Linked DNA regions of Stegostoma tigrinum. The protein of the gene in region 1 purifies or fractionates together with the protein of each later gene. This does not show direct contact. Links are inferred from orthologs where the notes say so. Each region holds a gene or a part of one and is shown on either strand. Other genes may lie near its edges.

Region 1 (8,192 bases):
AGTCACATGAATAATTCAGAATGCAAAGAACCCCATGCCCATTTGTATATAGTTATAAACATGCTACTGCTATTTTTTTCTTTTAGTTCATGCGGTAATATTTTACATCTGACTTTCCATTTTTACTTCATTACATTTGATTCAAACAGTGGAAAGCATGTTTTCCTAAAATAGCACTGCAGCATATATTCTTTGAATTATTCCAGGTGCAAAGCATTATTTTTAAATTATTTATAAACACAAGCCAGCTCAGATCACTTCTGCTCTCTTGTCCATTATAACATCAATTACATCCCCTGAACACTGTTCACTTTTAATTTCCAAAGAATGAAGTATTGGTTTTCTTCTAAACGCTACCTGCTTTAATTGTTTGTTCTAAGCTCTCAAATTATCATCATAAACATTCATGTCATTTTAATTAATTTAATGACTCTCATGTTCCCTTATGAAATATATTAGGTAAAACAAGAAATTAATTTCTCCTTTCAAAGGTGTTTTACTTTTCATTTTTCAACTAAATTCTACAATATAAGTAATCAATTGTATTGCATTCAGACAAAAACATTTTAACCAAGGCTCTGTCATGAAATGTACATTTATTACTATGGAATTACAATAAAGACATTTGTCCTGTGATTACAATGTGTGTGTCAGTCTCAATAATACTTTTCAGCTATAATGCAAGAGTTCCTCAGACCTATTCCTTCTAGTTTTGAACTAACCCAATCCATGGCAGGTTTCATTTGTGTTCTCTTACAAATGCTGTAATCATCTAAACATATACCAATTAGTAACAAAGGCACTTTTATCTTGGCTGATTTGCATCAGCACATTTTCATTGAAAAGGCTTTAACTTTAAGCTACACAGAAATGTTAACATACACAATAGCAAAACAAATAAACCAGCTAAAATGTATTTAAAAAATCTTAAATTTTATGGCTCCAATCTCAGGTCCTTCTATACAGACCTTTAATAATGCTCTATTATCTGTATCCTATCACAGATCATTTCAAAAATTAAACCAAATAAACTGGGTCTGAAATATTTCACACAAGCCTGTCAGGTCTGTAAACAACCTGCCTGGAATGTAATAACAAATCCATTCTGCCTCAGTGCATGTACGCAAAATGCATCAGTACATTATGTACAACACAAACATTAACTGTGCATCTCTCTGCAATCCAGATGGTCTTTCATTACCAGTAATTACCAGTAATACTTTATTTCTGCAGTTTTGCATAGTATCGGGATTGCCTATCTGGTATGTTGCAGACTCGGAAATGCTCTCAAAATTCAAATTATAAGCTCTCATAGAATAATAAGAAAAAAAACTTTGATTCTAAATCTACTAAAAATGTACAAACATCATCATCTTAACTGGAGACATTCACCTATAGGAGGCCCAGATACTTAATTATCTTGTTGACACGTTATTAATTACTGTCCATTGCTTTACTGTGACTGCATGGATAATATCAAGCAGCCATTTTATCATGGTCTCTCCTAAAGGCTGTCTTTTTTGTGCAATGCCTATTAAACACTAAAGGTCATCCTGGATTCGGCTTCTGATCACTGATGCTGCATTGAAAGTGCATTACTAGACATGGAACAACACCGGCAAGTAAGGTATTCGGGGCATGTCTTGCTCGAAGAAGGAGGCAGATACAAACGGTTAGAATACGAGCAGCGGCGATTAATGCCTGTGCATGAATAAGATTTACATATTCCATGCTTGAACAAAAAAGGGAACCAGTTAGTATCGCGGCTCAGCAATATCAGGGTGACTGAGTTTCTCTGTGTGTACAATTAAGCCACCGTGAGGTTGCAGCCTGGCAACTCGGCAGTTCACTGGAAATTTCCACTTCTCCCAAAGTGCCTGTGATTGCCTGTGCTGTCCTCGGCACCCGCCACTCCATCCGTCAAAACTTCCAAATACCTGCCATCAGGCAGCTCCCCTATTCCTACCCTCACACTGACCATCCATCCCCTCACCGCCTTCTCCAGTTTGAGAAACCGCTAAAACAGCTCGTCATCCAACTGCAGCAATCCAGTTGCTTTAAAAACAAACGGCAACAATCTTCCATCCTACCTTTAACACAGCATTAAAAACTAAGAACGCTACAAGTCCTTACTGATTCTGTGCGCGCCGAAACATTCACTATGTTTAATAAAAGAGCGCATCAAAATACTGTGTATGGGCAAAAATAAAACACAATCAAGTTTTTAGGTTGTACACCATCTCCAACTCCCGGGTACCAATAGTTTCAAAAGGACTCCGCGCAACAACTCCCCTATTTATTAGGTGTTTCTTTCTCCTTACATCCATTTCACAGCACTCAGGCCGCTGCGACTCCTTGCCAAATCATCCAATTAGACCCAAAGTGCCGTTGGACCTACGAGGATGGACTTTTCACACAATACATACAACCGATCGACACAAAAAAAGTGGGGCAAAGGAATCCAGCCTTCCTCTGCTTCTAAATAATCCGGTAAATCTACATAAATAAATTGTTGGAGATGGCAAGTGTGGTGGTAAGGGTTATAAAACAAAAACACGGGTATCCTGCAGGAAACAGACACGTGCGCTGGTACTAATGTTCACCGCCAAAACCGAGACTGTCTTCCACCAGGGCGTGAGCAGGGTCAGGGTCATTTGGAAACAAGATAAACAGGAAAAGTTTCAGCATCGTTTGGAAATGTTGTGATGTTGCAGTTAGCTCGCTGGACTGGGCTGGGAGTGCTGCAGGCTTTTCCCGGCTGTGTCTTTCAGCACCACATGCCTTGGACAGCGAACAAAGGGAAAGCAGCTGGCTGAAACCAGGGCAAACTCTTCCCACATTCACTTTCCATCGTCCTCCTCATTTCAAGAGGATTTTGGTCAGACGCAGGTTTCTGTTTTCAGTGAATGGATTAAGCGATTCATTGGGAGCGACGTGCAGAGACATTCTCGTCGTAAGACGAAGCAGCAGCACCGGTTGGCGATGGGTGGGTTACTTACCAAACATCTGAATGTGTCCTTTGGTGATGGGGTTGAAGCTCCCGCAGGCCAGCAGGATAACGTGGGTTTTAGTGGGCTCGGCCATGCTCACTGCCTGCCTGCCTGTCTGTCGGTCTGGCTGGTGTCTGCAGTGTCTGCAGGCGCCGCTCCCACTGTTTGCCAGCTCCGGCTGCCTCACTGCTCACGCTTACTGCGTCACCCATTGATCCGGAGGCAGCGCTTCCCCCTTTTATTTCTTTGCTTGTTGTCCCCGTTCGCCTGCTGAGTTTCACCACCCTCTATTTCTCTCACTTTATAAAGCCCCACTTTATACCCGCGCGGGGGTGTGAATTATAGTGATTATGTTGTGCTGCTAGGATCTGAGGGCTTTTTTCCCCCTCTATAGAAAGGTTCAAAACATAACTGCCTATAGTCCCCCTCTCTATTCCACAACCTTGCACCTCTACCTCCTCGGGATTAGAATTCCGCTTGAGGCGTGACCATTCTGTTTGTCTGAATCCGATTTCCCTTCAGTCTGGCCTGCAGCGGCACAAATCCCAGATTTCACGTTGCTGCTGTTCCAGGTCAAACCGAAAACCGAAAATGAGCAAGATGCAATTTCAGAGTCAACTTTGTCACAACTCTGTTCCATTCATTACCATTTCGACATCTTGGTCATGGTAACCTGTACACGTGCAAATGGATTGGCCGGCAGGTGGATTTTTTCACACCCAGAGGGTGGGGATGTCTGTAACCCACTACCCTGAAACGGGATAATGTCAGAATCCCTCAACATATTTAAACAAGTTGGATAATCACTACTCAACCCACAGTGCCCTGGACCAAGAACTGAAAAGTGGCATAACGATGGATAGCTTTTCTTTGGCTGCCATTGCGATGATGGGCCATAAATGTTCAATTTTCTATGTGTGACAACATTTACTAGAATGGTACCAGGAATCAAGAACCTCTGAAAAACTAGACAAGCCGCTATTAGGATTATTTTGAGTCATTTACGAGAGGAACTTGTTGGCTGGCCTGCTATAATAGTGCTCTTAACAGAACATTCCAGTCAGTTTCACTGCTGGACTTGATCCCCATAGCCCCACAAGTTAATTTTCTTGAAGAATCTATCCAATTTATTTTTGAAAACTCTGAGAGAAATAAAAATCCTCCCCATCTCTGTCTTAAACAAGCAATTTCAAACACTGAGATTATACCCTTTGGTCCTAGACTCTCCCACAGTGGGGAGCAACTTCTCCATGTCTACTCTGTCAAGCTTCCCTTAGAATCATATATTTTTCAAAACATTCTCCTTTCATTCTTCTAAACTCCTTTGAATAGAAGGCCAAACTACTCAACCTCTCCTCATTAGAAAATCCTTCCATATCTGGGATCAACTGCTGGAATACCTTCAATACCAGTATATCTTTTCTTAGAAAAGGAAGCCAAAACTGTAAACAATATTCCAGCTGCGGTCTGACTAGTGCCTTGTAGAGTTTTAGCAAAACCTCCCCATTTCTAAACCCCATGCCCTATGAAATAGAGGCAATGTTTCACTTTCCTTCCCTATTACCTGCTGATCTTGGCTGCTAGCTTCTTGTAATTCATGCACTAGGACTCCCAAATCCCTCTGCACTTCAGCTCTCTGTAATCTTTCCCCACTTAAATAATACTCAAGTTTCCCATTCTTCCTTCCAAAGTGAATAACCTCACAGTTTCCAACCTTATATTGCATCTGCCAATGTTTTGCCCAATCACTTAACCTGTCAATGTCTGTCGACTCCTCGTGACATCTAACCACTTGCCTTCCCACCTATTTTTCCGTCATCTGCAAACTTTGCTATGGTGCATTAACTTCCACGTCCAAGCCATTGATATAAGTTCTAAGTATTTCTGTTCCCAGCACCGATCCCTGTGGTTATTCTCTATTTACAGGCTGCTATCTTGAAAATGTCCCTTTTCTCCTAACTCTGTCTTCTGATAGTTAGCTATACCTCTACCCATGGCAATACACTACCTCAACAACCATGGGCTTTTTTCTTATTAAGTTATCTTGTGTGCAGTACCTTATCAAATATATTTTGGAAATCAAAGTATATTGTATTTCATAGTTCACTTTTATCTACCCTGTTACCTTCTGAAATGACTGTAATAAATTTGTCAAGTATGACTTCCCCTTCATGAGACCATACTGCTTCTTCTTGATTATAATGTGTTTCTAAATTCTCTGCTGTTAATTCCTTTATAATAGATTTTAAGATAACGGGTCTACCAATAACCGCTTTTTCTCTCTCCCATGTTAAATAAGGGCATTACAATGACAGACTTTCAGTCATCTGGGACTTTTCCAGAGTCTCTGGATTTTTGAAAGATTACTATCATGCATCTACCGTCTCTGTAGCTGCATTAGGGATGTTCTGCTTGAAGAGAAGGTTGAGAGGAGATCTGAACAAGGTATTCAAAATCGCGATAGGCACAGAAAAAATAGATTGGGAAAATCTCTTCCCACCTTTGGAAGGATGGAGAATAAGATTGCATCAGATCTAAGATAATTGGCAAAAAAAACTCGACAGACCAAAGGAGAACCTTTCAAACAACATGAGATTAAAATCTGAAATGCACTAATTGAGAGATTAGTGGAACTAGATTCAGTCGAAAAGTTAGAGGAAATTGATTATATGAAATGGATGAATATGCAGGGTTATATGAAAATAGCAAGGGAGTGGCATCTCTCATTCAGAGAGTCAGCACACACACACCACGACGAATGGCCTCCATGCAGTAACAATTTTGTGGTACGGTAATTTCATTTCTATTTCTATTGTTTAGGTCTAAATGGAGGAAATCGTATACGTTATTGTAAACTGGGGAGATTAATTTGAATAAGGTTGAATAAGGTTTCACCTGGACGTTAACAGCTACTAAAATACTAGTCAGTCTAAGGGGGCTTACTGCAATCGTTTTGAGAAAGTCCACGTTTTTATTATATAAAACACTGCAATATATTATTGGCAACAATCAGTTAATTATACTGCACCTAACTAATTGCTTCAACATTTCGCAGGCAAAAAAACCTTAAGACCTCAATCAACTGCGCAAGTGCATGATGAAATTTAACCAATTCCCCACAAGGCAATGCAGCCGGGGAGAGTTTCATATCAATCTTATGTTTGACGTTCAGGATTTTTTAAATGTATAACAAAGAGAGCATTTAAAATAGCATAATTCGTAGTAAACAACTCGTATGTAGTTGTGTTGCTCCTATGATTAGAAAATCAATAATCTACCCAGAAACAATTTACGTTTTAAACAATGAACGTACTAGAATAAATATGCGACAATACCTCTAAAACATGTTTCATTTTAAAGGCATATGGGGCAGTTTAAAGTGCATATTTCCAATCATGTTTAAATAAATTTTTTTCAATCTGGACGGGAGTCTTGTCGGAAACATTGCATATTCTAACATGACAGAGTATCATTTTCTTTCATTCCTTTGCATCATTCTGTAATATTTAAATTTAACCATGCAGCGAGTAAATAAAGAAATTAGACATTTTAGAGGTTGAGAATCCAGGATACATGAGGAAGGAGGTGCTAATAATTAAAGACAAATTACAGTGCAGTGGTTCAGTGGTTAGCACAGCTGCCTCCCAGCCTTCTGCAACAGTGTGTGTGGAGTTTGCACATTCTAGATGTGCAGTCTAGGTGGATTTGCCAGTTAGCTGAGTTGCAGGGAAAGGTAGGGGTGTGGGTCTGTGTGGGATACTGTTTGGAGGGGTGGTGTAGACTTGATGGACCGAAAGGCTTGTTTTCACATTGTAGGGAAGCAGTCATTCTAAAATAATTTATCAAAGAAAATTGATGGGACAATCAAAATCCATTGCCTGCCGTTCCATTTAGGAACTCCAGGAAGTGATGGGTCCTGGAAATGATTCAGGAAATGCCTCCATTTGTTCAACTTTGGCTGCAGAGTTTCCAAACTTGAGGTACAGCTGGTGTGTACTTGCTTCTCCTCCAATAGTAGATTCTCCCATCTTCACTGCTTCTCCAGTCAGATCCCCTGTCTCCCATTCTTCCTGCACCTCCAATCACAGGTTCTCCTGCAGTCGCTGATGTTCTGCACCTCAAGCTAAGCCTCTACTCCAGTTACAGCCGATGTTCTCCCATTTTCTCCAGACGCTTGCATTTTTGCCATTTGAAAACCCCATTCTTGCTTCAGCTCTCAATTATGAATGGTTTCCTCAATAATGTGTGGTACATTTCCAGATTGTTGTACGTCCATGGATATGAGAAGCATAGAGGAAACTTTGCTGGGGCTCTGATACAGTGGAAATAAAAGAAACCTAATGAATTGGTTACATTGGAATTCAGCAAAGATGGGACAGGGCGAAAAAGAGAGTGGTAGCAATGTTGAACAAGTGAATGATTAAAGCACTGGAGGGGGTGTTGTTGAAGCCTAAGACAGGGTCTTTTGGTTAGCACTGAAGAAAATTATAAAAGTGATTGCACTTTCTGAAATATACTATACACCATCAAATGATGGAATGAAGTTAGAGCAGTAAGTTTACAGTCAAGTAACAGAGATGCAAATTATAAAACAGATATGCAGATTTCAATTAGTCCAATTTACATTTCAATACATAATGGTGGCAAAATGAAAGAAGACATTCTGAAGTGTGTCGAAGAGAACTGCCAAGCCAAAGAGGAAGAAATATTCCCATGGATCGAGGGCAAATATAAAGTGGAACAAGTGGACTATGTTTCAGTGAGAGCATATTGTGGGAATTGCGGTTGTAATAGCATCAAATTATGAATAAGTATGGAAATGCATCATGGTTCCAGCAAATTATGTTTAAAAATCTGTTTCAGTAGAGATGAGAAATAATGAAGGCAAGAAGTTATATGAGGGAATGATTTATAGGCACTCTGACAGTAACTACACTGTAGGCCGAGGGTCTCAGGAATAAATACTGGGAGCCTGTGAGAAATATCTGGCAATATCTGCAGTGATTTTAATCTACAAATAAATTTGATGAATCAGATTTGCGAAGGCAGCCTGAAAAATGAGTTTGTGGAGTGTTTTCAGGACAATTTCTTAGAGCAGCATGTTCTAGTGTTACAACCCAGTGTAACCTAGTGGAGAGCACTGAATCAGCTCCCCCCTTTTAAATCCTCTTTGGTTTGTCACAAAACAAATGTTTAACTCTT
Region 2 (7,743 bases), on another chromosome or scaffold:
AGCATCCGTGAAGAAAAAAACAGAGTTAACGTTTTGGGTCCAGTGACCCTTCCTCAGAATGGAGTCAATCGGCCCAAAAGATTAACTCTGAATTCTCTCCACAGATGCTGCCAGACCTGCTGAGCTTTACCAGCAATTTTTATTATTGTCTCATAAATCTGGTAACATTTGGTATACTCCTAAGAAATAGTATTCTCCTAAGAACCCGCGTCAACTACTTAGTTTAAAGTCTCCATATAGCACCAGTCTGATTTTTCTCTTTTGAAACTCAGGTAGACTCACTCATGCGAACAGGATATAATACATTTTAAAAGAACAAAGCAGCTAGAAATACCTTAAACTAAATAAACTGCACAGCATATTGATGAACAATATCATCAGATATTCATATACAAGTTGAAGAAACTCACTGCCTAAAAGTGAGGCTCAGTCAGAAACTCTCGTTAGCACTTAAGCAGTATTTAGATATTGACTTATGGTGCCATAGCCTTCGGGGCAATGAGCCAAGAACGTAGTTAGACCACTGTTGACTGCTGCAGGCACAATCAGCTGAATGGCCTCCTTCCGTGCTGGAAGCATCCATGAGTTTATCAGAATTGAAGAATTTTCACCTCACCTCAGATTTCAGGTATAAGAAAAGGAAGAAAAATTGAACATTTATGCTAAGTTAGGCTTACAAACAATTTCTATGAATGAAGATCTTTAACGCCTTATTTGTCATGACAGAATTAAAACTGCAACTGCCCATTTTAATTCTTAAAAACTTCATTTTCTTGCTCCAACTCATGTATAGACACCATATTCCTCTCACCCACCACTTGAGATAAATACAGGGTGTCAATCTTTTGCATTAAGCAGAAAACCTAAGAGCCAGATAGCTCTGGGATTAGAGGATTTAAAGTGGTAGGGAAAAGGCTCAAGCGGAGATAAATGCAGAACAAATTAGTTGGACTCAGTGGAATAGCATATGCTTGTAGTATATTCTGTGAACAACGACAATAAATTGAATCCTCTTTCAGTCAGGCCGGGAGATTGTGTTGCTGGAAGTAACTGGGATGAATTTTACACAAATAATTTGCATTACGTAACTCCCAATCTAGAGACACAGAGAGCCTATTTATAAGCAGTCACCCCCCACATCTCCCTGTACACAGTTAAGTACATTAATGGAATGTGCAATAATATCAACATTTCAGTCACTGAGCTAAAAGTCTCTAATTCTAATGGTGGGTTTCATCTATTCGGTCAGTAACTGACCTCATGTAATTGAATCAATGTCAAATGCTGTTATGTCAATTGCAAGCTGCCTCCAGGAAGGCTGGGCTGTGTGCAATTCAGATTCTGATTTTAACTCCAACGTTTTTCTCTTTCCTCTCAAGACATTAAAAAAAATAGTGAAAATGGTCTTAGTGTGTCAGTTCGAAGCTTGATGGGTCTTGTAGTTTTAGTCCACAAGATGTGTCAAACAAGAATAAAATTACAAACAGAATCTCCTGAACACAGCAGGAAGATTTTCTTCCCTAGAATCATGTAGTGACTGACGGAGAGTTACATAATGCAAATTATCTGAGTAAAATGCATCCCAGATACATTTAACATCATAACCTCCCAGCCTGACTGACAGGGGATTCCATTCATCGTCACCGAGGCCAGGATTTATGATGTCATGATCTGCTGCTTAAAACAAAACGTAATATGTCTTGATGAATTCTGAAAGCAATGATAACCTTGCCTAACAATTCTCTTAGAGATGGAGAGCCCAAATGATGCACAGGTTTGCTGGCCTACATTTTTTCTTAATGTTGGGAGCTCATGAATGACAACATGCAAAGATCCTGAGTTAGATGCTCAAAAGGCATTAGAAACACAAAGGGTGAGTAAAAATGGCACTTCAACCTGAAAAATCAGAATGAGAATGCAAGTGCATATGACTAGAGACAATATACACACATTGCAAATGGGGTTGATAAATGTTCATCTTTGACATTGTTAATGCTGCATATTCCATTGAAAGAGTTTGGAAAGAACGTCTCTACTTGAGAAAAAAAAGTGTTTTTTGTTTGTGTTCCTGAAAAATAGTGGGTTACTGTTAACAAATGCGACGTGTTTCCTCTCGCTGCATCACTACACAGACACGCAGGAAGCAAGCTAAGAATCCATAAAATAATACACAAAGATCTTCCGATTACCCTAATGTTCCCCATCCCTCCCCATTGTTGTCTCTCTAAACCCTTCCCCATTCACACAGCTCCCTGAACGCTAAACCCACCTCCTCCTGACAGCCCTACCCAGTTCCTTGACCCTCTACTCATCCCAAACTCCCCGATCCCTAGCTCTCCTCCCCACCAGCAACCTCCTCCCCCCCCCCCCCGCCTTGCTGCTACCCCTCCCCTCCCTACCCCTTTCCCTCCCGGTGCCCCCTCCCTCCCCACCCCTTTCCCTCCCGGTGCCCCCTCCCTCCCCCAGCAACAGTACCTGGTATTTGGGCGCGTTATTACACTGCGGGAAGCTGCCGGCCGCCTCGCCGCTGTGCAGCAGGTTGTTGTCCACCAGGTTCCAGCCCCAGCTCTGGTCGTCGCTGCCCAGCAGGGCGACGTAGCCCTGGCACTGGAGGGGGGCGCGGCGGGTGGCCACACCGATGACAGCCACGGTGCCCAGGGGTCCCTCCCACCAGATCTCCCAGGCGTGGCGGCCCTCGCTGAAGCCGATGTGGGCCCGGGCACCGTCCGTGCTCTGGGCGATGGGGTTGCGGTGCAGGGTGAAGCCGTTGCGCTTGATGTAGACGTTGCGGGAGCAGTCGGCCGAGCTCCAGGCGTGTCGCAGGGCCCGGGCCTTGGCCTTGTAGCTGCTCAGGTTACACAGGATGTCCGAGCTCAGCGCCTCCTCGCTCAGCAGCCGCTGGCACACGCTCCTCCAAACCTCGCTGTTCTCGTCCGCCTCCAGGCAGCGGTTCCAGTGGCGGCAAACCAGCGAGCAGCTCAATAGCTCGGGCAGCTCCAGGTAGGAGAAGAGCAGCTCCAACACCCGGGCCGGCAGCTTCCCGGCCGCCATCTTCCCCCGCCCCCCCGCCGGCGGGGGAGCACGCGCGGCCCCGACAACGTCCAACGTGTCCTGCGTGCGCGCCACCCCTCGCGGCAGCAAGGCCCGCGACCACGCAGGGCTGTGATGTCATGACGCACCACCGGGAACGTGCCCGCCCCACACACGTCGCGGCCGGGACCCCGCCCGCTGGCCCACGTGACCCTTCCCCCCTCTACACGGCCACGATCGGAACAATGAACAGGAGAATCACAAACCCGGAAGCGACCCTAACAAAACAAAATGCAAGTGCTGGAGAAAACTTCAGCAGGTCTGGCAACAGAGTTAATGTTTCCAGGCCAAAAAAAACCCCTGCAGATGCTGGAAACCATGGTGGACAAACGGGAAGCTGGAAGAACACAGCAAGCTAGGCTGCATCTGGAGGAACGGAAAAGTCAACGTTTCGGTCCCGAAGAAGAGTGATACTCAAAACGTTGACTTCTCCTTTCCTGTCTGGTATGAATCTTCATCAGGACTAATACCAACTAGGAAAAAGTGATGTTTGTGGTGAAGACAGATTGCGGGGGTGGTGAGAGGATGGATGGCGAACAAGCCCACACAGAGAGATATGAAAGAGGTAGGCCGGCTAGGGGTTATTGATAGTAAGCCAGGACAGAAGAGAAGCGGAATAAGTGACAATGAGTAGAAGAGAATGAGTAGGCCGTGGTGAAAGCAACCTATGTCATGACAGAACAATGATGTGGCGATGAATAGGAAACATAGAAGGATTGAATCAAGTTTTAAAGTTATTTAAATTGCTGTTGAGTCTAGAGGTTACGGGGACCTCGAGTGAAAGATGAGATGCTGTTCTTCGAGCTTGCACTGAGACTCACAGGAGCACTGCAGCAGACCTGTGACGAAAATGTCAGCCAGGTAACATGATGGTGTGGTGAAGTGGCAGGCAACTGGAAACTTGGGAGTCATTTTTACGGACAGAGTACAAAGTGGTCATGCTGTCTGCATTGCATCTCCCTGGTGTGGAGCAGATGAAAGTGTTAACTACAAATACAGTAGCCTGGATTAAATGAAGCACGGGCAAATCACCACTTCACCTGCAAGGCACATCTGGAGCCTTGGATTGTGAGGAAAGAGGAGTAAATGGGCAGGTTTTACACCTTCTGAGATTCTATAGGAAGGCGCTGTGGGAGTGATGGCACTGGAGAAGGTGTAGACTAAGGGTTCTTACAGAATGCTGACAAAGGAGGGGAGGAGAATGTGTGTCTGGTCATGGTAACCCATGCAGGTGACTGAAGTTGCAGCTTACGATTTGCTGGGGTCCCTGCAGCTCTAGAACTCAACATCGAGTTCAATAACTTTACAGCCTGATTATGTCCTTCCATGCCCCTTTTCCTACATCCCCACACTCTGGTCCTGTCATTGACAATGGATTGCTGTCAGTACAGCCTACCCATTCTCTCCTACTATTATCCTTTATTCAGCTTCTCTTCTGTCCTGGCTTACTATCAATAATCCCCTTGTTTGCCTACTCCTTTCGTCTCTCTATCCCCGGACTCCATCTCCATCTAGCCACTCGTCTCTCATCCTATCCCACCTTCACCATTTTGACACCAGGCAAACTCATGTTCCACCCCTGACCAACACTGCCAACCAACTCCATCGGATCTGACCCATCATGGTGTCCCCCAATCCCAAATCAAAATTTCAATCAATTTTGAAATATTACCACCATTGGGGAAGTGCACCAAAGATTCACAAGACTTGTTTCCGATAGTGGGACTGTCCTACGAAGACAGATGGGGGCAAAGTCAGCCTGTATTGTGTAGAGTTGAAGAATGAGAGGTGATCTAATTGAAATCTGCAAAACACCTAAAGGATTGACACGGTAGGCACAAGTAACACGTTTCCCATAGCTGGAGAGTCTAGAACCAGGGGCACAATTTAAAAATAATGGGAATGTCACATAGGAAAGTGATAGGCGCAACTTTTATTTATTAAGGGTGGTGTAGTTTTGGAATTCTCTACTCCAAATATTTGGGCTTTGTCTTTGAGTATCTTTCAGGTAAAGATTGATTTCTGATTATCAATGGTATAAAGGATAATAGGGTTGGGTGTGTGGAAAAACAAAGAGTTCAACCAACCATGCTTGCACTAAATGGGAAGGCAGGCTTGATGGACTGAATGGCCTACTCCTGTTCCGATTTTCACTGCAGCATTCAAAGTGTCTACTGGACATTTAAACTTAAGAATATGGAACTCAGTGCCGTCAAAGGATGATCTTTTTTAATATTGCACTCAAGCATTCCTGGATAGGTTCATAACAACCTCCTAATGTGGCCTTTTATCCTTGAGGTTACAGATAGTGCTTCGACATAATTCTGTTGCTGCTGATGGCCCACAGCACCTTATGAATTACTAGTTTCAAGTTTGCTGGATCTGTTTGAAATCTATCCTAGTCAGCACGGTGCTGGTATCATATAACACAATGGAGTGTTAGCCTCAGGTTGAAGATAGAACTTCATCTTTGCTCAGATTGTGCAGTGGTCATGACCAATATTCATGGACAAATGCATCTACGACAGGTAGAATTTTGAGGATGGGGTCAAATAAATTTTCCCTTTGCAATTGCTTTGAGGATAAATGAAGGTGAGGTGTTGCATTGTTAATTTTGGGAAGATGCTTTATTGTACAACAAGTAAAACATTCAGAACATGAAATATGATTAAAGTCAATTGATATAATCAATCTGTGTATTGTTGCAAAATTAACATCCATGCCTACAACAGACCACTTGAGGGACTTGTATTTAACCTAGAGAAGTGCAGGTATTCCACAATCTGACCTACTGACATGCAGAGGTTATTGCTCTCCCAGACACCACCACTGCCTCAACCTCTTTCAAACCCAGTACACTGACCAACTGATGTACAAGCATTGATTTTAACTCTTGCAGCAAGCTGATGATAACCCTGCACATATGAGTAACAGCCTGAGCAATTTTTATCCTCCAGGCTGATTTGCCATTTCCTGTAAAAAGCAGCATTTGATTGATAAGCAAGAATGCTGGGATCAGAAGAAGGCTAACAGTAACAAGGGCAAGGCTGAACAGGGAGCACTGCCACGAATATGGTGTTTGGGGAGGTGGGGGTGTGTGTGCAGGACAGTCCAGGCCAACAGAGGTCCCAGGAGACAAACCAAGGGAAGAAGCCCGAACTGTTACAAAGCTGTGTCCCTGGCCCTGTCGAGGAGTCAACTGCGGGGTCCAGAGATAAGGACATGGGTGGAAATGCTCACTGACTAATCATACCTGCCAGGCCTGAGATAAGGACAGTGTAGCACACCCCCAAAAGCTGTCAGTCCTTTTTTTTAATGAAATGCAACAGACTGTAAAATGGGTGCTCAACTTCAGTGACAAAAATGTCACTGTACTTACCCCCCCAGCAATCTCTGCCCTGTCAGGATTTTTCTCAAAACTGTGGATCTCCTCTATCTGACTTTTATATATCATTGATCACTTAATAATTCACAGAGTTAAACAGAACAAACAGCAGTGATGATCACCCATAATACCAAAAGCTGCTGAAAAATCAGCACAAGCTTGGAAAGACTAGAATTACAATATTTCAGTTGGGACTCTTGTCTGAACTTCGGTTTTAGATTTCCACTATTCAGTTTTGCTTACTCTGGTAATTCACACATAACATTGTAAGCAGATGCCACATAAAACCAGGTTTTATTTCTGTTGAATCCTCCTTCCTCCTATCTTGCTTGGTAACAATGTTCTCGAATGTTCACAATATAATTTCACAGCGATCTGGGCAGGGAATGTCAGCTCATCCCTCAGGTACTTCCCAGGTGTCTGCAGTGGAGATTAAAGACTCAGCACTCTGCTCTGAATCTCACTTACACTCCTGGGATGAAATTGTCCAGTCTTTTGACTATGAAAATTCTGTGTGATCCTTGTGCAGACTCAATCAGGTTGTAGCAGACATGGGTCCACTGGCAAAACGTGGTGGTGGTGCCTGGTCACCTCCAAGAGGCTGCTGTATTTAAAAGGGGTGGGGCTTGATAGCTAATTGTTGGCCTTGCCTCACTGGGCAGCACTCACCTTGGATCACAACGTGATGGGTTCAAGTCTCAGTTGAGCAACCTGGTGCCAGTGTAGTGTTGAGGGAATGCACTGTTACTGAAGTCTCATCTATTCTCTGGAGTGAACGTAAATTCTGAAGAACAGCAAGACAGCTTTCCCATGGTGAATCAAAATCTGAAACAGTTTATCCGGTCATGATCACACTGATATTTGTGGGAACTCGATGGAGAGAAATTCATTGCCATGTTTCTGTATGACAATAGTTTGTAGTTTGGAAGAAATTCATTGACTAAGAAGTGTTTCAGTTCATCCAGAAGGTGCTAGATAGATCCACATTCTAATTTTTTTCTAACAGAAGTGCAACTTGGATCTGGCATGATCAAATGCTCGATAATAACTTTAATGTAAGATCTTCTTCTTCTTCAGCTACAATAGTCTCCATCAGGATGAGCACAGGTTAGCAGAAGTAAAAATTGAAAACTTGCAGTCAGGTCTCCCAATAAAACCTCTGCTCTCATCAGTGACTTGACCAAGTGAAGGATGGCAAGGTTTTATAGGGATTTAAAATTCCCTTTGGATCCAGAATCGCTTTCATCTGCTGCATCAAGTCCACTGCT

The links.
Region 2: the proteins of nmnat2 (region 1) and fbxo45 purify together in Homo sapiens (co-immunoprecipitation; 3 studies listed by BioGRID and IntAct, with this or other methods). This does not show direct contact. The link is inferred for Stegostoma tigrinum from reciprocal best matches to the Homo sapiens genes NMNAT2 and FBXO45.

What each region holds. Positions count from the first base shown.
Region 1 is NC_081361.1:45,721,153-45,729,344, forward strand, and holds the start of nmnat2 (nicotinamide/nicotinic acid mononucleotide adenylyltransferase 2), read right to left. Parts: upstream 3,208-8,192; 5' UTR 3,085-3,207; coding exon 3,000-3,084; intron 1-2,999.
Region 2 is NC_081367.1:5,059,132-5,066,874, forward strand, and holds the start of fbxo45 (F-box/SPRY domain-containing protein 1), read right to left. Parts: upstream 3,095-7,743; 5' UTR 3,052-3,094; coding exon 2,476-3,051; intron 1-2,475. Other genes in the region: d2hgdh (D-2-hydroxyglutarate dehydrogenase, mitochondrial), read right to left, coding at 7,644-7,743. UniProt on the Homo sapiens protein: Component of E3 ubiquitin ligase complex consisting of FBXO45, MYCBP2 and SKP1. Functions in substrate recognition but also plays an important role in assembly of the complex.